Struthio camelus: one gene and its partners. The protein of the gene in region 2 interacts with the protein of the main gene of each other region in a biochemical or structural test. Links are inferred from orthologs where the notes say so. Each region holds a gene or a part of one and is shown on either strand. Other genes may lie near its edges.

What was found.
Region 1: the proteins of FKBP4 (region 2) and HSP90AA1 form a complex in vitro, tested with the Homo sapiens proteins (4 studies listed by BioGRID and IntAct). The link is inferred for Struthio camelus from reciprocal best matches to the Homo sapiens genes FKBP4 and HSP90AA1.
Region 3: the proteins of FKBP4 (region 2) and GLMN form a complex in vitro, tested with the Homo sapiens proteins (2 studies listed by BioGRID). The link is inferred for Struthio camelus from reciprocal best matches to the Homo sapiens genes FKBP4 and GLMN.

The regions. Positions count from the first base shown.
Region 1 is NC_090946.1:71,305,234-71,312,746, forward strand, and holds the start of HSP90AA1 (heat shock protein HSP 90-alpha), read right to left. Parts: upstream 3,049-7,513; 5' UTR 2,909-3,048; coding exon 2,630-2,908; intron 1,023-2,629; coding exon 864-1,022; intron 767-863; coding exon 400-766; intron 1-399. UniProt on the Homo sapiens protein: Molecular chaperone that promotes the maturation, structural maintenance and proper regulation of specific target proteins involved for instance in cell cycle control and signal transduction.
Region 2 is NC_090942.1:88,453,771-88,460,765, forward strand, and holds the start of FKBP4 (peptidyl-prolyl cis-trans isomerase FKBP4), read right to left. Parts: upstream 3,099-6,995; 5' UTR 2,839-3,098; coding exon 2,755-2,838; intron 2,503-2,754; exon of another isoform or gene 2,441-2,502; intron 1-2,440. UniProt on the Homo sapiens protein: Immunophilin protein with PPIase and co-chaperone activities. Component of steroid receptors heterocomplexes through interaction with heat-shock protein 90 (HSP90).
Region 3 is NC_090949.1:18,832,244-18,839,596, reverse strand, and holds the start of GLMN (glomulin), read right to left. Parts: upstream 3,049-7,353; 5' UTR 2,964-3,048; intron 1,385-2,963; 5' UTR 1,376-1,384; coding exon 1,310-1,375; intron 825-1,309; coding exon 699-824; intron 1-698. Other genes in the region: putative RNA polymerase II subunit B1 CTD phosphatase RPAP2, read left to right, coding at 3,141-3,201, 4,380-4,425, 6,606-6,720.

The sequences.
Region 1 (7,513 bases), on a different chromosome or scaffold from region 2:
TCAGTCAAGCTTATCGTAACTAGTAAACACCCAGGCAAAGGTTCTAAATAAAATTAAGAAAATTTTCACTAATTAGTCTGCTCACGTTATCATGAGAGTTGTAGGAGTCTACGAGAATACTCCCGTGTGCAAGCTAAAAAGAAGTTTAGTTTTCACCGTAAAACATCATTTAATGCAGCTATTCCCCCTACCACTTGGAAACAGTTAAGCAGGGTACACCGACACATGAGGAGACACACTGCTGGGGCCGTGCTTCGTCTGACACATGACGAGTACTACCCACGTTATATACTGGTGCTACTGAGCTCTACAACGCCTAGAGCAGGAACCTGAACGGCAAACATCTTTATGGCAAACATCTTTAGAAAACACACTTGAGCAGAAACCTGGAACACTTACCGTTATCAAGTCTGACAGTGAAAGATCCTCCAGCTGATGACTCCCAAGCGTACTGCTCATCATCATTGTGCTTGGTAATCACAGTCACTTTCTCCGCAACAAGGTAGGCAGAATAGAAGCCAACACCAAACTGACCAATCATGGATATATCAGCCCCTGCCTGCAGTGCTTCCATGAAAGCCTTGGTACCAGACTTGGCAATAGTACCAAGATTATTAACCAGGTCAGCTTTGGTCATCCCTATGCCTGTATCCACAATGGTCAGAGTGCGATCATGCTTGTTTGGAATCAGGTTAATTTTCAGATCTTTCCCAGAATCCAGTTTGCTTGGGTCAGTCAAGCTCTCGTATCTTATTTTGTCCAGCGCCTGTAAGAGAAGAGACGGGCTTTAACATTCCCCGACTACTCCTAACAGTTCTGGAAATCATACTGAAACAAGCTCATCTAGCAGCTCAAGTACTTACATCTGATGAATTGGAGATCAGCTCCCTCAAAAAGATTTCCTTATTGGAGTAGAAAGTGTTGATGATCAGAGACATCAACTGAGCAATCTCAGCCTGGAAGGCAAAGGTCTCCACCTCCTCCTCCATTGGTTGATCTTGAGTCTGCACAGCTTCTGGCATCTGTAAGAGGAGGTAAGGTGAAGCTCCACCCAAACCAACTGCCATTTGATGTCCATACCCATTTACAATCCAGGATAACAGCATTTCGAGATCCAGACACTAACAACACGGCTTCAAATACAACACTCAACACCATCGGTTGAGAAGAGCAGATTGCGTTTCCGACCAGTAACAATTTCAAGTTTTCCCGAATTCTGAGAACTGACTCCAGATTGAATCTGTGGACCCCGACTTGCATTAACCTTTAAGGATAAGGCAAAAGAACGTTACCGCTCCCCTCGAGAATCTGCGAATGAATTCAGCACCCTTATGTCCCCTGGACACAGTCTAAGCGCTGCGTGTTTTTACCCTATAGAAAAATCTTACTGACAGCTTGGCCTGGCGTTTTAGAGATACTGGTTGGATTATTCTGCAGTCCACTAAGTCTCAACTCGGAGTGTTTCCTTCTTCTCCCATCCAGCTTCTACTTTGCTCACGCAGCTATTATCTTCACAGAACCGTCTGGTTAAACGACTTCGTCCTACGCAGGCGCGTTACTCAAGCTTGACAAACAATCTGTTGCTTAGGAGGCCCTCCCCAATGAGGGGGGGCTCAAAAGCGTCCCCACTTCATCCGCTACAGGATGAATGGAGAGCAACGCCAAATTTCTGTGCCTCAACTATACCGCTGAAACAGTAAGAAACAATCGACAACTCGGTCAAGCAGCGCCTAAGGCTGCGAACACGCCGATCGGAACGGCCTCCTTTAAAAGACTGGCAAGAGAGATTTAGAGCCACTGCTTCCCGAGAGGCTCCGAGCAGGATCAGCCTCCCGGCGCGCTGGGCCGCGGCGCCCCCTACAGGCTCCCGGCAGAAGCATGAAAGGTTCTAGAAACTGCCAGAGCCTTCCTCAACCGCCACCCCCTCCTTCTCCCTCCACCCACTCCCTGACAGCACCAGTCCCACGCAGCGCGCACCCTCCTCCACGAACAGGGCGCATAGCTGACCACGTCTTTTCCTCTCTTCTTCCCCTCCCGGCACCCCACGCTTTCCTCATCCATTTTCCCTACAAGAACCGCCCGCCTCCATTCCCTCCATCTTGTGCCGCCATGGCCGAGCTCATTCATTGAGCTCGAGGCTTCCGCCCGCCCTTCCCCCGACCACCCCGCTGTAGCCGAGCCAGCGGGTCGCGGCACAAAGCGCCCCACGGTAAAGACGGAACCGGTCCCAAAAAGATAGCCCTCCCCCGTGATAAAACGGCCTACCCACGACCTAAGCCCCCCTCCCCCCGCCGTTTCTCCCTTTTCCTCCACCCTTTTTAAGGAAAGGCAGAAAAAACTCCGGCTCCACAAACGACAGCACCCCCCCCCTTCCTTCACCGAAGCCCAGACTTTGAGACCTACCACCCCTCCGCGCCCACTTTCCCCGGGACTAAGGCGAAAAAGGGAAAAAAGTCACCCCCTGCACCACGCGGTTCCCCGTTGTAACCCCCCCCAGCCCCCGCCCCCCATCACAGCACCGCGCGGAGGCATGCGCCAGCCGCTCAAAGCGGAAGCGAAAACGCGCTCTCCGGCGCCTGTTCGGGACTCAAGTGCTAACCATCCTTTGTGTGCCACCGCCTCCGCTCACCTTTGCAGGGGGGGAAAGGCTGCTAGTCTCCTCAGTCAAGCGGCGAACGCGCTCTACCCGCACCGTTGCGCCTCCACTAGTGCGCGCTCCCCGCCGCCCGCTGGGTTTATATAGGTCCGGCGCCGCCTCCTTCCAGAACCATCGGGAACCTTCACTGACAGGCACGGGGGAGGGGGCAAGCCGGCGGGCGGGAGGGGCACCTGGGGGCGGGGCCGAGCCCGCCGCAGCCAGTGGTAGCCGTCCGCGAAAGGCGCTCGTCACAGGGCGAGTCTCGCGCATGCGCCTGCCGTTGTCTCAAGTGTCAGGGCGGGCGGGATAGGCGGGGGGGGGGGGGGGGGGGGAGATGTGCGCGAGCGAGCTAGGGGGCTGCATGAGCGCGCGCTCTCCGTTCCTCCAACCGTCAGCTCGGTCGAGAAAGCGGAGAGTTGGGGAGGCGGGGTGGGGGAGGCGCATGCGCGGTGGCTGCCCGGGGTGGCGGTGGGGCGCGCGCGCGGCGCTCAGGGGGAGGGGTCCGGCGGGATTGCGCAAGCGGCGGGGTGACATCATCCGTCGCCCCGCGCCTCTCAGAACGTCCTAGAAGCGGGCGGGGCCAGGCAGCTGCGCCCCTCCCCTGCCCGCCGCGCGCCCCGCCGCGCCGTTGAGAAGGGCCTAGAAGGCGCCGGGCTCCCCGCGCCGGGCTCCCCGCGCTCCCCTCCCCCTGCCGGAGCCTCCCCGGAGCCGGCGTGGGGGGAGAAGCCGCCCCGGCTGCCCTCAGGGCCCAGCGTCTCCCGCTTCACAGCCGCAGCCGGGGCGCCGCGCCCGCCCGGCCCCGGGCGCGGTTAAACGCGCCGGGGTGGCTCCCCTCAGGCCGGTTGCGCAGGTGGCTGCGGCCCTGCTGCTCCTCAGGCCTGGGCTGCGGGTAGCACGGGGAGGCTGGCGGGGGTCGGGTGGCAGCGGGCTTGCCCTGCCGGGCAGGGCGTCTCCCGAGCCCGGGAGGACACGTCCGCTCAGCCAGGCGCAGCTGCGTGAATCACAGCTTGGGGATGCTGCGGTAAAGCGTTTCACCTAATCGGGAAAACCAAGCCGCTTCTCACAAAGCAAGTGGCAGTCTGCAAGCTGAACGAAACCGTACCTCTCAGTATACATATTTCTCTGGGATAAAAAGAGGTGAGGGATGAAATCCAAGAGGCTTGGAAGACTCGCGTAGCTGTGCAGTTACCCCTGTTCAGGATTTAGGTGCTAACAGTAGCTACTAGAAGGATGCCAATGATGGTTAGTTTATGAGAGCCTTGAGTCTGAAATTCCCTGGCGTTCTAAGACTGGATTTGGCCTGCACCATCTAGCGCGTGAGAATATCTCTGAGACCGAGCATAAAGAAGTCTATGAGTACGTGTCTCTCATTAAACTGAGTAGCTAGCTCTGTGATTAAGGCGTTTAGCTTAGCTGGGGAGGTTATTTTTAAATCCTGAACTACCCAATAGGAAGCAGGGAGTTAAATGCAGGTCTTCCCTGTCTCAGGAGAATGACTTGCATCACATGTGTTCCCGAGTAAGCTTCTAAAACTTTCTTCTTGGAGCTGCTCCGCTTTCTATGGATACAAGTATTAAGTGTCACAACTGTCCACAAATGACTGAGGTAGACATGGATCTAGAGAATCTCTCTGCTGTCTTTTCTCTGAAAAGAGTAGCTGTTTATCCGTTGGAGGAATAAAAACGATGCTGTTTCTGTAGCAAAAGTTCGTCTCGGGCCCAACTTCCTTTTTAGCGTTTCCACTTGGATCTCTTAGATGTACTCCAGACACCTGTCTAGTTCGGCATCTGATTGACTTTTGAGAATCCAGTTGTTTTATGCCCGAGCTGCCCTCTTCCCAGTTAAACATTCTAAATTAGAGGGGGGGAGCGTGCCACAGAAATTGGATATTGCAATGCTTAGGTCTGTTAAGGCATTTAACTGAAGATCCTTAGGATGAATCTAACATCCTTAACATGCTTCATCCTGCAGTTTGACCTAGACAAACAAATCTGATTGACTTGTGGCCTGCAGGTCTGATTTTCTTGCAGTTATCATGCCTTTCAGGGAGTTTTCAGTAGTTCTGGGTACCTTCTCTGATGAGCAAGAAGATACGTTAAGTGTAAGACGTCAGGTAGGATCAGCCAAGGAATCAAAATTGCAGCTGCTTGCTTCATTGTCGCTGCTGCTCTTGTCTACATCAGGGTCTTCAAAGATGCAATGACTTACAGGATTCTGCCCCTCCCAATAGGGTCATTACACTTCTGACCCAAGCAGTCAGCCAAAATACCTGGGCCTGTGGGTCCTTTTGGTTACACAGAGAAATTGATCGCAGTGTCAACAATAACTTGCGAGGGTGTAAGAGGAGCTGTTCCTCAGCACGCAAGAATAACCAAACGATAACTGTGAGTTTATTTGCTTACAGTGCTAAGGCGCTGCAAAAAGCTGGAACTGAACCGACGCTCAGCCTAGAAAGGTCTAAGTTTTTGCGTGGGTGACCTTTTAGTGCGTATTCTGCCTGTTTCTTTACTTCTTTCTGTGCCTAATCCGGGTCTGATTTGTGGTGCTTCTCAATGCCTTTCTTTTTCTCTAACACATATGCACGCTACAAAATAACATGCACCAAAATCCTTTCTTGAGCATTACGTGTTCTTTTGTTTTCATGCCGCATGTGTTTTGAGTGGTCCTACTGCTGCTTTGGTTGCCTGCTTCCAGAAAGCAGCTTAATGATTTCTTACCACTGCCTTAATAAAGTGTGGCAGTTAAATCCGAGCACAAGAGCGTAACTTCCATATTTTTCTTCGATTAAATGTAATCCGGCTGTATAAATTCCTATACGACGTGCCTCTTAGGCTGACACCCTCTTACATTCAAACTCCGTCACCTGAAATGTTCGATTGTTTTCTAAAATTTGTGTCAAAAATTCTAGTAAATTCTATGTTTTACAAAACTGCTAAGCTATTGAAGAAATCTGTCCAGTTATTTTCCCAGGACTATCCTACTAAAATTCTTTTGCATGCGCTCCTCTGGAGAAGTCCACAATATTAAGAGTGCAACTTCTATTAATATTTTCGAGACGTTATTCTCAAGAAAATCTTTTCCATTATAAGCCCTTGTTTACTGTCGATTCAGTCTTTCAGGCTTACGGCTTTACTTAATTTTTAAGCATATGAAAACCTGTGGCAGATTTTGCATGGTGTCTGCAGGATCCTGGACCGGAATTTATATCGTCTAATCTGGTAGTCGTATTAGTCTGTTTCTCTTTTGCAATTGTGTTATTAAACTCTCAAAGGCAGCCTTCAACAGACGGACTTTTTGTCAAAATAGTTGTTTTCCCTCCACTAGGAGAAAGTAATCTTGTACCAAACCATCTCCGTTTTCCCAGCTTTGCTTAACCCAGCTTCTTATAATTGTGTGCCTGTATAAAGCTAATATTTTCTTCATGGATTGTGACTAGATACTCTTTTTTGTTCTTTTAGGCCGTGATGGCTAGCTAAAACGCATTTTGTTCCTGTGGTTGCTCCATGTTAACTGACTCCAGTTTTGCATTGCTTCGGTTTTAGGGCTAAAACATTCCAGACGTGGTTTCTGTCAGAGTTAATTTGGGGGGTGAGGGGAAATCTGAGCAAAATAATTCCTTTTTTTTCCCCCAGCAAAGAGATTAAAATACTTTCTTGTTATAACAAATAGCTCTGCGAATAGAGGAAATGCTGACACCTGAATTTTTCAAGTCCTATGTTCTCGGCACATTTACACTGTTGTTCTCTCCTATGTCCCCTAGGCATCCCTGGCACCTCTCCTCATCTTCCCAAACTCATCTATCCTTTATCCACCTTTCTCTGATTTCCAGCCTGAGCAAGAGGCAGTACACACTATGGCTGGGGCACACTCATGTGCTTAGTGACTAGTGAGCTGTTGTCTCCTAGCTGTTAGGTCAGCCAAACGGGGAAGATAAATCTGAATTCTCCCCATCCTTTCCTTCAAAAGGGGCAGCAGGAGAAGGTGTTTCTGCTACTCAGCTATTGATTTTCTCAAACCTTGATATCTCTGTGATCCCTGTACCTTTGCTAAGTTTGACCGAATTGGTTAATAGGTCGAAATCATTAGGGAGGGACTGATGGGCAACAGCCATACTGTTGCGTATGTCTCCATTTCCTTAGGAAACTAGACTAAAAATATTCTTGCAGTTTTTTCAGCAGGTGGTGTAGCCAGTGTCTGAGGGATGGGTTTTCCTACTGATGCAATATTAGAATGAATAACGTAGGGAAACTGCCATGTAGTCTGCAAGATTTATCACTTCAAAGATTACTGTAAGCGCAAAGGTAAAAATCCCCCACAACCCACAATATGCAATCTAAGCCAAGGCAAGCAGTTCTGATTTCCCCTTTTTCTTGTCAGAATCTGAGCAACTTCTGCCTTCAGAAAGTTCACATTTCGATCAAATGTTGCAGAATCGGGCCTTCTTTAACGAAAAGCTATTCCATACCAACCACACGTGCTAGAAAGTTAAGATATGCTCTGCACTAACTGCATAGGCCTCAACCTTGCATTTGCTGATTTCCTAAGAATGGGCGCCATACTTGTTCCCATATGTATTTGCACTGTAATAGTCTTTAATTAACACAATTTCATAGAACTCCTTGCCACATGAAAGTTACAAAATGAACAAAGAACAAAGTAAAAGATGGAAGGAATGAGGAAAGAAAGTTATTTAATATCCAAACCATTGAAATAATACCCAGGAAAACTGGTTTTTATTCTTGATTCTGCCATAAGCTTCTTCAGTGTTGCTGAATAAACTTTTTTATTTGTATAAGCCACAAGGAAGTTAAATGAGCTTTGCATAGAGAATTTTAATTCTAGCATTCAATTAACTTTTGAGTGCTGGATGTTGTA
Region 2 (6,995 bases):
ACATAGAGATATTCCCCCATGCTTTCTCTACTGATCATATGTTTGCACTGAAGGAAGCACACCCTTGGGACTCTCACTCCCAAATTTCAACTTCCTGCAACCACTGCCAGAATCTCCTACTTTGTGCCTTGCCCCAACTTTGTTAGTGAAATTCTAGGGCCCCTCTGCCTGAAACAGAGGCAAACATGAACAGCTTCTGTCAGAAGGTGTCTTAATAGAAGCTGTCAGAAGCTTGTGTCTTAACAAACTGAAAGTATCTCAGTAGAGGCAGAAAAGAAGTTACTACTTGCTGTTACCTAGGGACAGAAGGCTCAATGTAATGAAGGATGCCTTATCTAACTATACCATCCCCTCACCCTGCATAACCTGAATGCTACAGCAGTTCTTCATGCTACAAAACTAAGATAATTTATTAATTTTTTTTCCACGGAAGACAATTCAAGCAATCATTTAACTGAAAGAGATAAGTAAATAGAGACATTTGAAAATAATGGGAATCTAGTAATCAATTTGAACTACATCATGATTTTAAATTTAAGAAGGAAAAAAAAAAAAAAAGGCTCCAAGCTGTTAGGAGACTAGTAGTTTTAAGACAGCCAACTTGAAATCACCTTGTAATAACTGCATTTAATGATAATTTACTAAGCTCTTTCAAATGCCAGGTTCTTCAATGTTAGACAACACAAAAAGTTATGAATATCTCATTTTCAGTGTTTATACAATGTTATTCTTTCACATTTTCTTCACTTTGGAGAGGAATCGAGTTGTTTTTTTTCCCCCCCACTATACTCAGTATGGTAACCCCTTTCCCTTTCAGATGGGGGATGCTGCTTTTTCTGCTCATAATGGGATTGCAAAGCTCATTTCTATTTCTAAACTTACGTGCTTACATTAGAAGCAATGCAATCACATTCCACACCCCAGGTAAAAACCTCTGTATACTATACAGATATGAAACTGATAAACAAATGAAAACTTTCTTGAAATCAATTAAATGACACCAGTACAAGATAGGTGTAGACTAGTTCAGAGTTAGACCTCTGATTTCTGTAGGTTTATTCTGCATTTCTACATTACTACAAAAACAAAACCCCTGAAGGCGCACTGGCTGGACTTCATAACCGTCTACATTCTTCTACACCTCATCAGTCCAAAATTTCACCTTTCCTCAGTTCTTTTGCCAGTGTTTTCCTTTTTTATTACCTGGTTCTCTTCCATCATCAAAAGATGCATAGTACATGGAGTGATAAGGCAGGCATTATAACATTGCATTTTACAACGTTCAGGGAGCTGAGATGACACACCAGCAGGCAACTTCTTGGGCAGCCGCATATGCGAGAACACTAACTTGATGCTGTGCAATACACAAAAGCTAGAAACCCTCATCGAAATACGTTAGCAGAAATATGGGTAAAGGAGATTATAGGAACCAAGTACACATCTTCAGTCTAGTCCTCAACACCCTTCTTTGAAGTAGAGGAAGTGCCCCAAAGACAAGTCCCACTAAAGGTAGAATTTTGTCTTTACAATCCTCCTGCTTTTCTTCTTCATAACATAATTGATCTGAAATTTTACTGAATTAAAAAAAAAAAAGCTTCTAGTGATTGTTGTTCAAGCTTCTAGGGACTAAAGAAGCTTCTAGAGATTGTGAAATAGGAAATTTTAGAGAAAGGAGGAAGTTAATGCAACTCCCCCCTCATTCATATGAATCCTGCCACTCCTATCAACTGACTTGCAAGTACTGAAGAAAGAAGCCAGGCTACTGGCACGCTGAATATCTGGCAAAAATTGTGACCACAACTAGCCCTGCAGTACGCCCTATTAACACCCTCACTCTTAACTTGCTAACAGCTAGTATTTCCCATGAAACAGAACAAATGACAGCCTTCCTGCCTCTTGCCACACAGATGGCGACTACACTTACATCAGGACCAAGTGTATATGGCATTATCTCATGTTTAAGAAATTGCTTCCACCAAGATGGAGAGCCCCATTTTCAGATTCTTAAGGTCAGGTTCACAGAGCAGCATTGTTTTATACCAACTCTGAATGAATACAGAATATACATACTATTCCAAGGCTTTTTTTTTTTTTTTAAATATCCCTGCCCCCGAGAACATATGCTGGGACGAAAAAACCCCCAACACCCCTCAAAACAAGCCAGCAGCGGGCATGGGAGCGCGCTCAGGGAGAACGGCAAAGGCACACAACTTCCTGATCGCCCCTTCGCCCGCACGCGTGTTGTGCAGCAACCTACACGTAGCGCATCCTCCTCGCAATCCGTTTTAACCTTCCCAGCTGGAGACCGAAAGCCCCGCTCGGCACCAGCACGGCTCCTCCTCCACGGCCGGCAGGGGGGCGCCCCCCGCCGCAGCCGCGCAAGCCGGCGCGCACGTGGCTACGCGCGCAAGGCGCGGCGCCCTCCCGCCCGCTGCCCCGCGGTGGCGTGGCTAATGTTTAACAGCAAGGGCCGCACGAGCCTCCCGGGCGGCGGGTAGCCAGGTAACGGCCGTGTCCTGAGGCAAAGGCAGGAAGGAAGGGGAAAATGAGGGACCACGCAGCCCAGCGAACACCGGGCCGGGGGGGGGGGGGGAAGAGAGGGGGAAGGCAGGGGGCAAGAGCAGGAGCTAACGAGGAGGCACGGGTCCGCCAACCCCCCCCCCCCGCCACGGCTCGCCCAAGAAACCCTCCTGCCAGCCCCAAAAGCCAGGGTGGGGAACGGAGGGAGGCGGCCCCGATCGGCCGCCGGCTTACCTTGAGAACACCCTCATCCCGCTTAGGGGTGATGTCCACCCCCTCCAGGGGGGCCCCGTCCGCCTTCATCTCCTCTGCCGTCATCCCGCCTGCCGCTGCCACCGCTGCGGAGAGGACGGGGGGGGGGGGGGCCGCTCAGGGGGGGTCCGCACCGGCCTCAGCGCCCGCTCGCCTGCCCGCCCACTGGCTGCAGCTCCCACGCCGGTCAGCTCGCGCCCGGGCTGCGGCGGCACCTCGCGGCGGGGAGGGGGAGGGGGAGGCGGAGGCGGGCGGGCAGGCGCGCGCCTCCTGCGCCTCTACCTCCGCCGCAGCGCCGGCCCGGAGGTCGATGGGGAAGGGGAGGAGACAGGGGAGGGGGGAGGAGGGGCCGAGAAGTTTCTAGAGAGGTAGCCGAGAGGGTTTAAAAAGCCCGAGCCCGCCAGGGGCTGAGGGGAAAGTACGCGTTGTGTGGCCGCATGGGTGCGCACGCTGTAAGCAGCAGGCAGCTTTTTCTTTCTTTCTTTCTTTCTTTCTTTCTTTCTTTCTTTCTTCCCTTTTCTTTTTTCTTCCTCCTACCGCTACATGTTCTCAGATTTACATGAAAGCGCAAATAGGCACAAAGCAAAGTGCCTTCTCAGAGGCAGCAGTAGGAGTAGCTTGCATGTCTTTTGGCTTACTGAGCTGAGGAATCCGGTTAGAAGCTATGTGCTTAAAAATAAAACTATGTGAACCAAGAAGGGTAGGAACAGGCTTAGTACGCTTCTGACCCAAGTTCTGTGGTTAAGAATTAGCTTTGAGCAGTAAAACGTTTGTATGGGGATAAGTCATTCCGGTGGTTTTGTGCCTTGACCCACTCCCAGAGTGCTGGGCATTGCTGCAGCTTTGCAAAAAAGAAACGCCCTTTGAAAATGGAGGTTGTTAGTACAAGTACAGTGGAATAAGCAAACCAAGATTCTGAGCTTATTTGCAACAGCACAAACGTTATGCGTTGCGTGCTACCTTCAGTCCAAATATCTGCAACTTGCAATGATGTAATATCAGACCAGGATCCCCTCTGGCGATTCGGTGCTAAGTTTTGCAGCGCTAAACTTTCTACTGCAAGCCATTACTGCGGGATTCCTGGGGTTACCGCGTGCAGCTGTGCCTGCTCCCCCTTCCGTGAGCGTTGTGAGGTGGCGGGCGTGCTCCCGACCCTTCCTGAACTTTCTTTTCCCCAGTTTTCTCTCACTTTCTCGACGCGCCCTGGGCGGCGGTTGGGGGCGGGCGCTGCCGCTGCAGCGCGCTGCCTGCCGCACAGCGGCCTCTGCTGCCTGCGGGCGGCGGCGCCCTCCAGCGCCGCCTGCGTCCGCCCGGGCAGAGCGCGCTGCGCCGGGGCCGGGGCCGGCCTTCGCGCTCCTCCGCGCCGGCCCAACCGCGGTAAGTAAGCCGCGGGCTTTGAGTGAGAACGTCCGTATGGCCTGCACGGGCCCGAGAGCCGAGAGAAACCCGCTTATTTTGTGCTTTCTGCTTCTGCTTTCTCAACGTGATGTTTTGACCCCTCGATAGCAGCAGCCAGAGGCTGGTGGACAGATGCTCGGTGTTTCCAGAGGCAGTTTGCCAATCCCCACTGCCGCCTCAGGGCATTGGTCCGTGCGGTTCAGACCCCCCAAACCGTTAGTTTGGAAGGGATCCCTGGAAAGGCTGCAGGGGGCTTGGCAGCAGCCTGTGCAGTTGGTCTGTGAGCAGGCATGGTGCGTCTGCCCTGGCTCTGCAGTTGCTCTGTGTCAATATAAAACTACATGTATGCACAGTACACAAAGACTTTAGCACCGTTAGCCTGGCTCTGCCGATGGAAAACAGTGGAAAGAACCTAAACAAAGAGCCTGGTGTTATTTCAGTAGATGGATGCAAACTGTAAAATCAACAGGTTTCCCCTGTAAAAAAACATGCTTTTCAGGCCTAAGCAAACATCTGCTTTGGTGCAGTTTCAATCTGAGGAGTAAGTGGGGGTGAGGAAAAGAGAGAAAGAAAACACTGTTTTTTGGGTGCATTTGGTCTAGAAAGTTCTAGCTGCAGTCAACTCTCAGTTTCCCAAGGATCGGTTACTTAGGTTGCAGATTAAATCTGTGGGAGGTGCAAGCTGTTTCTGTGCATGCTAACCTAGACCTTGACACTCTGGGGAGCACAGAGAAGCATCAAATCTGGTTCAGGTCCAGCAAGTCTAGCAGGTCTTGTTAGCCGAGGCACACCAAAAACATGGAGATTCTTCATCTGTCTCCTGACCAACGAGTCCATACTGTACTGGGTTTGCAGTCTCAGGTCAGCGCTAACACACAAGTTCTCTGCACTCCAAAGTCATCGGTGCATCCCTGACCTCTCTTTTCCTAGATTTTCTCCTGTCATGCTCTATGCTGATTTAAAATAAATTTTTTTGCTGTATGCAAAAAAGTTTGAGTCTCCCCTGTCTTTTAAGCCTCTTTTAAAGTGTCCTTTAAGGTTTATTTATATTACCATAGCATTGGAAAAGACCCTGACTGTCATATGAGAGGCCTGTTTTCAGAAGACATATAGTAGAGTCATCTGATAGTTTTGAAAATGAAGGCAGTAACCGCCTGGGCAGTAAAATGTTCCCAAAACAACTATTTCCAGCAAGACTCTGGAACAGCCTCCCAGGAGGTCAAGCCTAGCTAATGTTGGTTTACAACTTGCTACATTTATGAATAGGTTTGTTTAAAGATTTGCCAGAGATCATAAGGTTTGGATGAAAAGCCATCAAAAGATAGGCGTAGTATAACACAGCTGAGCTTTAGCTTGTAGCCTGTTGGAAAATATGATTTAGGAGATCAAGGATAGCTTGTAATACTTGTGCTTGTTGCACTATAAAATATAATGATGCATAGTAAGGAGGAAACAATGTCAAATCTGTTTGATTTGCACGCTTTTTTGTTGCTTTTGGTTGCGTGACCCTTGAAGTGCACAGCAGAGCACAAGCTTTCTTCAGTGGAACCCTATGTCGTCAGTGCGTGTAACACCCGTGTTAGGCCGCTCAGGGTGTCAGCTGCTGCCCTCCACCCAAGTTCAGTCTACCCACTCTTCATTCATAGGGCTCTCAAAATCCCAGAGCCTGAGAAGCTTCCACTGCAGCTTCGCCGAGGTGTCCCAGTGTCCCTGCTGTCTTTTACTCCTGGCAGTATCTAACACAACAAGCCCCATGTTGTCCTTTTAGTTCAGGAGAAGAGTTGAAGTCAGTATTCCTCCTTACCCTTTACTGCATCACTCCAAACTGCAACAGGTTGGCATGACCCCCCTATCAAAAAGCATTAGACACGGGCCTCTCATGTTCCTTTTCAAATATAAACAGTGGTATTACACTTATCCCTCACTTTAAAACCCGGCAAAATTTGAAGAGAAATGATCTGAGCTGTTACATAGCGGGCATGCAAATGAGGCCCAAACCCTCCAACCCACAGAAAGCCAAGAGGCTCTGGATCGGCAGTTCTCAGTGATTTCAAAGCTGCTCTTCTGCTTGTTCACTAACAGATGTCAACACTTTTTGAAAAGTACAGGCCATAGGACTTGCATTTATATAAGTTCCCTTCTTTTTCATTTTCTAGTAAGATTTTTTTTCTCCTGTGCTTCTACACATAACTACTCTGTTTAGCATTATCTGTTAATTCCATTTATGTGATAGGTGCTGTCCTTTTTTAGATCACAGATACAGATTAAAAAGGTTAAACTTAGCACTTTCTTGTGTAGACAGTATATCACTGTCTTCACTGATCATAGCCTGTGAGCCTGTTTCAGTTCATAGGATGCTAGTTAAATGCTTTTGAACTAAGATTTTAATTACCTTTCCAAATCAAATGCAAAGTTATTTTATCCAAACAGATATCATCAGCTACTTTCATTTTATTCTTTCCTTTTGAGGTTTTATCTTTAAAAAGCAATTAAGATTGCTGGGCAGGTGTATATTTAGACGCTCAGGTTTTCTATTTCTTTGCATGGTAGCCAGTGAATATACCCTAATGGATGCATGCTGACATCACCAGAAAGGATGGGCAATTCCTGGTTCTTTCATTAAAACACAACAGTATTTTACTAAGCTTGGAAATTGTAGTCTTTTGTCCACTGCTGTAAAAGTGCCATAGGAAAGTACTGTCAATAATTACAAATGGGTGATTACCTGGTTGATTCTGATGCACTCGTAGTAAAAATGGTACTATATTTGTTTTTAATCAGTTCTCTAGCAACTCCAGCACAGGGATTGTTTAAAAAAAAAAAAA
Region 3 (7,353 bases), on a different chromosome or scaffold from region 2:
TTAATCCTAACATGTCGTTATACGTTTCCAGATATTTATATGATAAAACGTTTCAAATAGGAGATTTTTTGCTGGTTTTTGAATAGACAAATCAAGGAAAGAAAATTTAAAGAAATTATTGTTGGACAATATTTTGTCCACGGGAAAACCCATTCTTTGAAGACCTTCAGTTGCTACTGAAGATGATCACAGAGATCATAATCAGACTCGAGCAATATTGCCAAAACATTCCATCCCTCCCTTCCTTTCAGACTTCCTCTTTATCTATATTCAACGTAAGTACGTTCTCCCAGCCCCTCAAAGCGCATACACACAATTTCTCTTCCATTAGCATCAGCTTAGCTGTTTGCTCTTACGGTTTTGGCCAATGCTGTTATAGCCATCTGAAATTCTCTCTCCTGCCACAGAGGGCCACTGTCACTTTCTGTTCGTTATGAGGTTGGCCTCTCTTCTCCCTTCTGCTTAACTCACAGGAAAACAGCTGTTAATAGCTTTGTTAAGATTACTGTGACTTGAGTACACAAGTCATAGTAACTCAAATTACACTAGAATGTGCACTTCACACAGACCAACTGATTAACTATTCATATGTGCACCCTTACTCCATAGTGAAAGTAGCTTTCCCACCTCATATGCAGCTTTAACTATTAATGGTGTGTTTAGCACACAGCTAAGACGTAACATAAATCTAAACTTACCTTATTTTTCTCATTTTGAACTACTTCTAATAACTGAGCTGCATATCCATCTTCTAAACACTTCTGGCCTGCTACCTGAAACAGATTAAAATCTTCTCCCCTGAAATCAGCTTCTTCCAGAATTTGCTAGAAAGAAAATACGCATGTTTGACTCTGTATTTTATAAAAGACAAAAAATAAGCAAACCCAAGCTTTCATTGCAAAGTCAAATGGAATGTCTTTTCTTGCATATCATCTTTTATATACTAAAAATAATTACTGAGAGCCACTACAGAAGAGAAAGCAGTATTTCAATAGTATTTTCCAAGTCTAGACAACAGCATGTTACTTGGGAGATGCATTTTCTGCAACAATCTGCTAGCGTTTTGTTCCTTCACACAGCTACTGCTGAGTGAAACAAGAACATATCTTCCTCCAAGAGGCAGAAGTTACCAAGCATCTTGGGATAAGCACCAAAGAGAAGGCAATGAAGCATGAAGGCTAAACCTAGCTGCCCAATGAGGAGTTCTGCTAACAACCGTCCTGCTTTTAGGGTCATTTTGCTTTTAATTACAGTGTATAAAGACAAACTTACTCTGCTTTCGCCTACAACTGTTATGAAAAGTACTTACGCATCTCTGTATTATGGCTTGAAGTTCATCAACTGCCATTATAGTTTGACTTTGTTCTTCTGGCATTTAAAATTTCTGTAATAAATTAAAAAGAGTGCAATACTAAACCACCCAAAGTAAAAACAGAGGTTGAAAAATAATCACATTGTCAAAAGAACGCTGAATAGAGAAATGAGAAGACTCAAGACAAACATATTACGAAGACTGAATTATAGAAAGATAGGAGAAAAGCATCTTTAAGGAGTGTATGCTATATTATTCTACCTCCTGTACTTGCAGGAGATACTATTTTAGACAGGAAGCAGCCTACATTGCGTACAGGGGAGTAATTTTTCAAATGTTATCAGAGGTATCTTAAAAATTTGTCAGCAGGCTTTGGCTACTACATGAACACCTACATTGAGAACTGCAACTACTGCAGAGCAAGTCTGGACTTGCTGCGTACCAGGTGCGGATGTCCCCGCTACGCTACATTTGCTCTGAATATGCTAATCAGATGAGCTCTCTGCTTAGATCTGACTAGAAGGCTCTAATTAGATGATGCCTGGGATGTGCATAGCTGATCCAACCACCGTGCCAGTTTATATCAACACCGTTTTAGTCTCATAAAGATTACATGTGCAGTATCATTTACTTCTTTCTACTGCTGGTTCAGTGGCCTTTTACCTCTAGACACTACAACTGCTGTTGCTGAAAGCAGTTAAGTTAAACATTTGAGTAAAATTAAGTGCATATCAAGTTCTACCTGGTCAGGGCCATGACTTACAAATAAAGTCAAGTTCAGTTTTCTCACGTGATATATCATAGCGGTAGTCACATTCTTTCTTTATGCTTTACGTTAATTCCACGTGCATAAATATGGTTACATAACCACTGTGACTGTATGCACAAGTCACTTGCCTCTGCCCTTGAGTGAACAGCTAACTCTCACGAAAATATCCAAGCTCCGTATCTATACGGCCATCTCCATGTACGGTTCTCCATCTTTCCCCTTAAGTTTGACCTTAGCTAACGCAATACCTACGCATCTAAGCTATTCAGATATTTACAAAAATCAGTCAACTCACTATAACCTATAAAGCACCCGTATGTGAATTTTATTACTGAAAGAATAAATAACTTACTTTCTGTTCTAAATTGCCTATTTTAACATTTCTACTTCACTCCAATGTAGCAATGCATCGGGCCTGTCATTTTAATTTTGTGATTATCATACACTTTGTTAGCATTCACTGCACTACTTCAGCTCTTAATTTTACAGGATCTTACTAATTCCCCCCAAACAATGTAAAGATACTTTTGAACGTTAATAGCCCTGCATTTTCAGCCCTCAGTAACTTTATAATGCATTGACAGCCTTGAGGCATGCCCTGAGCTGCCAGGGATTTGCCAGCTGAGCCCAGAGCCAGTTCAGGTCTTAACACTTAATCCACTTCCGAATTAAGTCTTTTCAGTGGTTTCAGTAGCCAACGACACCTGAATCACGAAGAACTGTCCGCTACCAATTCTCAAGCGAACTGCCCCCTCACTGGTAACATCCAGTTGTTTTCAGCCCCTTCCCTCGCTGGGCGACGGCACGCAGGCCAACGCGAGGCGGCTGCCGCCCGCGCCCGCCAGGCTGAACGAAACGCGCACCACGCCGCCGCCCGCTCACCTCAGCCGCGGCCGCCGGGCTGCGGCCCCTCCGCGCCGCCACCGCCACCGCCTCCCGCCGCTCCGGCCCGGCCCGGCCCGGCCCGCCCGGCCGCCGCCGCCGCCTCTCCCCGCTCGCGGCCGCGGCCCGGCTCCGCCTCCCGGTCAGAGGTCAGAGGGAGGGAGCGCGGCGGCAGCGATGATGGCGGCCGCGAAGCCGCAGGGCGTCGCGAAGGGGAAAGCGAGCCGGCGGCGCGCAGGTAGGCTCCGCGTGCCGCCCCTCTCCCCCCCCCGTGCGGCGCCGTGGGCTCTCCCTGTGCCCTGAGGCCGCTCCGGCGGAATGACCCAACTCGCGGCACAGGAGGAGAGGAGGCCTGCGGGTTCCCGGGGTCTCTGCTGTTGCCTGTGCGGCGACAACGGTTGGAACACCTCCCGGCGCGGCTCCCGCCCTTCCGGCGGTGCCCGCGGGGCTGGAGGGGGCTCTAGAGGTTGCCGTGAGCTCGGTGGGGCTGGGGAGGGGCGGGCAGCGGTGCGGCGCCGCCGCCGCCGCCGCCTCCTCCTGGGGCTGCGGGCCCCGCTTCTGCCGCGGTGGGCGGCGCCGGCGCCGGGCGTCAAACGCGCCGCATTTCACAGCTGATCAAAGCCCCTGAAAATACACGTGTGAAGCTTATCAGTCTGTTTTGTTTCCGCCCTGCTGCTCCGTGTTTGCCTGGACAGTATTGACTGCCCAGAAAGTACTGAAAATGGCTTCATGTTTTTAAAAAAAAAAAAAGTGGCGTATGCACGAAGGAGATGGGCGGTGGCAGGGAGGACGGGGCTCCGGCGGGGGGACGCCGCGTCTCCTCTTAAGTGCGGGAGACGTCAGGTGTGTTGGCACGGAGGGGCTGCCTGGGCGGGCGCAGGAGAGCGGGGTTGGCGCAGGCAGAGCCCCGCTGCGTCGGCGGTGCCGTGCCGGAGGCCGCGGCCTGTCGCCGGGCGGGGGGCCGGGCGGGGGGCCTGCGTGGCCGAAGGCAGCCCCTGCCCGCGGCCAGAGTGAGGGGAGGGTGAAAAAAGGGTATCGCTTCCCAGCGGTGTGGCCGCAGGGGGAGAGCTGCGTTTCTCAGCTCAGACAGAAGCCGTTTTCCTCTCGCTTGCTCGTTATGCAGAGCCTGTCACACGAGAGAACAGCGTTAGGCCTGTCTGTCCGCTCGCGTACAAAGATTGCGTCTAACTAGTTGCTGAGTGGATTACCAGCTTACGGTAGCTAGGCGCAGCCACCAAAAACCAAGCGCCTAAGCAACTGCCTTGATTATGGTTACAGTTTGGAGTTTGTAATGTTTTCCTGGATCGAACTATTTGCACGGTGGCTGAGCATGGAAACATGACAGTTCCGTTTGTTCACGGCTTAAAATGCATTTTAAAGGAAGAAGGTATACTGATTTATCTATTTGATTTCTAGGAAATAAGCATTCAGCTGCTCTGAAGAATGAAGATGCTGCTCAGAGGTACGATTTCTAACTAGTAGTACATAGCGATCTCATTGTTTTGCTTCATTTTGATTATATTCTCCATTTCACTTTTTTCTTTTTCTTTCTCAAAATACCATAGCTAACTTAAGGAAATAAGCCAGTATACAGATCATGCTAACCTGTTTTCAATGATGCTGCATAACTTTTAACTACATACCTTAATATAGAGATACCTCATTCAAACACTTACAAGATAAAACACCACTTCCCTACTTAAAGCACTAGACAAGGTAGTGAGTGATAGTAGCTGTAGAGGGTGGTATTATCATTTTTTTCCCCTTGAAACCCTTTGATTTATTCCTTCTTTTCTTTTGTACCCTCACGCTCAGTCTTGTCCTAGTCCTTTTTCTTTCCTGTACTTGACGCCTCTCCTGTCAATCCATAGATGTTTGTCCCAGGCTTTTGGTCCAGCCCGTTCTGGGCTTCCCCTCCTTTTAAGAAGAGTCAGGTTTTATAGTTGGCTTTTTTAAAAGTAATACTTCTGGTAAAGTAATAATAGCTGACTTAAGTCAAAAGACATTGTTGTTGGATTTCAGACTGTACTGCTAATAATTAGATTTCTATCTTATTTTCTCAACTCTTTATCTAAATCTTGAAACACTGATTTCGGAGTGTCTTAACTCTTTAAGATCCTACTTGAGAAACCAGTTCCTATCCTCTCTGGGGGATTCTCAAATGACCCTTGGAAAAACAGATACATCTCTTCCATCTCTTATTGAGCATTTGCTGAACATGAACCCGGTATTCTTTAGAATGATTATAGCCAACTTTTGAGTCCAGAGCTGTATATTAAATCTTAACAGGGCTAAAAGCTGCAGGACAGATATTATGTGCTGTACAGGTGTGGGGGAGGAGCTGACATCTTCTTGTTGGATGAGCATGTAGCTGGCTCACACAATGACTCAGAAATGTCAGCCTGAGCAACTTGGTCTGGTTTGCCCCTTCCAAGTGCCAGAGATTTGGTTTACATAGCGTTTATTACCCATCTGAATGGCAGACTTGAACTGCGCACTAACTTCATGCGGATCTTAAGTCTCAGATTTGTCATCCTAGACTTGATAGTACTTAGGCCAAGCTCCAGGAGAATAGCTTGACCAGAAAGAAAAATGAAACGTGTTTAACCTCCAGTCTTTTCAGAAATGAAGATTAAATGGTTGTCCTTGTTTTACCTATGGGCTCATACCTTCTTCCTTTAACCTGGGTGGGACAGCATGTCACCTGTTCCAGAGCAGGAAACAAGTGGCTACATGAGCAGTAAATGCTGCCCAAAACGTTCAGAATCTTAGTGCCGATGCAAGTGGCAGGAGAGGGGTTTTTTTCTGGTGAGAGGAAGAACTACAAAGGGAAATCTCTGTTCTGTCACTTGGGCTGCTGGTGTTTAATCACCGTAGTTCAGAGCAGGAGAATAAAATTCAGCAAAGACCAAAATCCGGGTATATCAAGAAAATGTAATACATAGTGGAGTCTCATTGCAGCCACCTGGAAGGATATAATGGAACGTATGACCAATGAGTGCAAGCAAAACTGCAGTTCTTGTGGCAGAACGTGTAATTCCATTGTATAGTTAGACTCTTACATGCTTATGTAGTAAAAAGCGTACCCCTGCCTTTTGAGTTCTTACACTTTTGAGCCTCCTCTGTTGGGAGAACTGGTTTGGGGTGATAGAGTAGTCCTAAACTAGGGTTTCTGTGTGTGCAAAAGATGATTGCTTTTTTCCCCATTATATCTTTTGGTCTAACAAAAATTACTGTCTCTTCTTGCAGAGCTCTCTGTTTTTGTTTTTTTAAGTGTCACAGGCACAACAAACCTACTGATATAGTTAGTTATCTTGTGGCAGCAATGTATTTACTTACCAGACAGGAGGTTCTTCTCCCTCTTGAAGCTTTTACTTTTTTCTTCTGTGGTGTTTTGCCAATAAGAGTCAATGCTTTTCTGACTGAGGGGAAGAGAAAAGTAAACAAAGTTTGGAAACTTGTTTGGTGGCCTGTGATTATTAGAAAATTCCTAGTCCAATTACTTGTTGCTTTGTTAGGCCACCATGGTGAAATGCAGAAAAATATAAGCTGCTATATTTCAGAAAAAAGAGATAGAGAAGACTGGGTAAATTGTTCATGGGAGTCTGCTCTCTCTGTCATCCAGTGTTTGTTCTGTTAAAGGAAAGCAGCCCTGGAGGCTGCTATTAGAAAGAAGATTGAATTTGAAAAAAAAGCACTGTATACTGTTGAACAGCTGCTGGAAGAGAACATCACTGAAGAGTTCCTTGTGAATTCTGTAAGTGTTGCAAGTTTTTATACCATTTTGTATCTTAGCGTTAGAATTTTTTTAAAAAGTTCTTGGAGCTGTTTTCTGCAGTTTAAAGTAGACAAATCTCTTCAGATCTGAGGACGATTGCCGTATTTTCAGGGGTTTTGCAGAGAAAATATGCCCTAGTTTTCAAGGACTGTATACACTTATGTGTATATACTCACTTTATTACCACAGCCTTCATTTATGCCTCTTGAGCTCCTGACTGATGGGTGAAATATTAAAACGGTAGCTCCGGATCACCTCCTCTGTGGATTTAGAGAAAGTTTCTACAATGCTGCTCTTTGCCCCAAAGTTTATCTGGCAGCACTGTTTTGCTGGCGTTGTGTGAGGATTATTCCTGCTGCAGTTACCTGAAGCGAAGCACTGCAGGAACATGTTACAGTTCTGGTACATGTGGGTTTCCTAGCTAAGTTTTCCATGACCAAATTGGAAACGGTACATAGAGTGGGAGCTCCTGCTGCAGTAGGAGAAAGGTGACCACATATGGTGAAATCAAGTCCAGAATTAGTTGCATGGCCCAGGCCAAATACAGGATAGTTTCATCTGGCCAAAGCTGAGAGATCAAGCTCAGGATGACTGTGTTGTGCAGTGGGAATT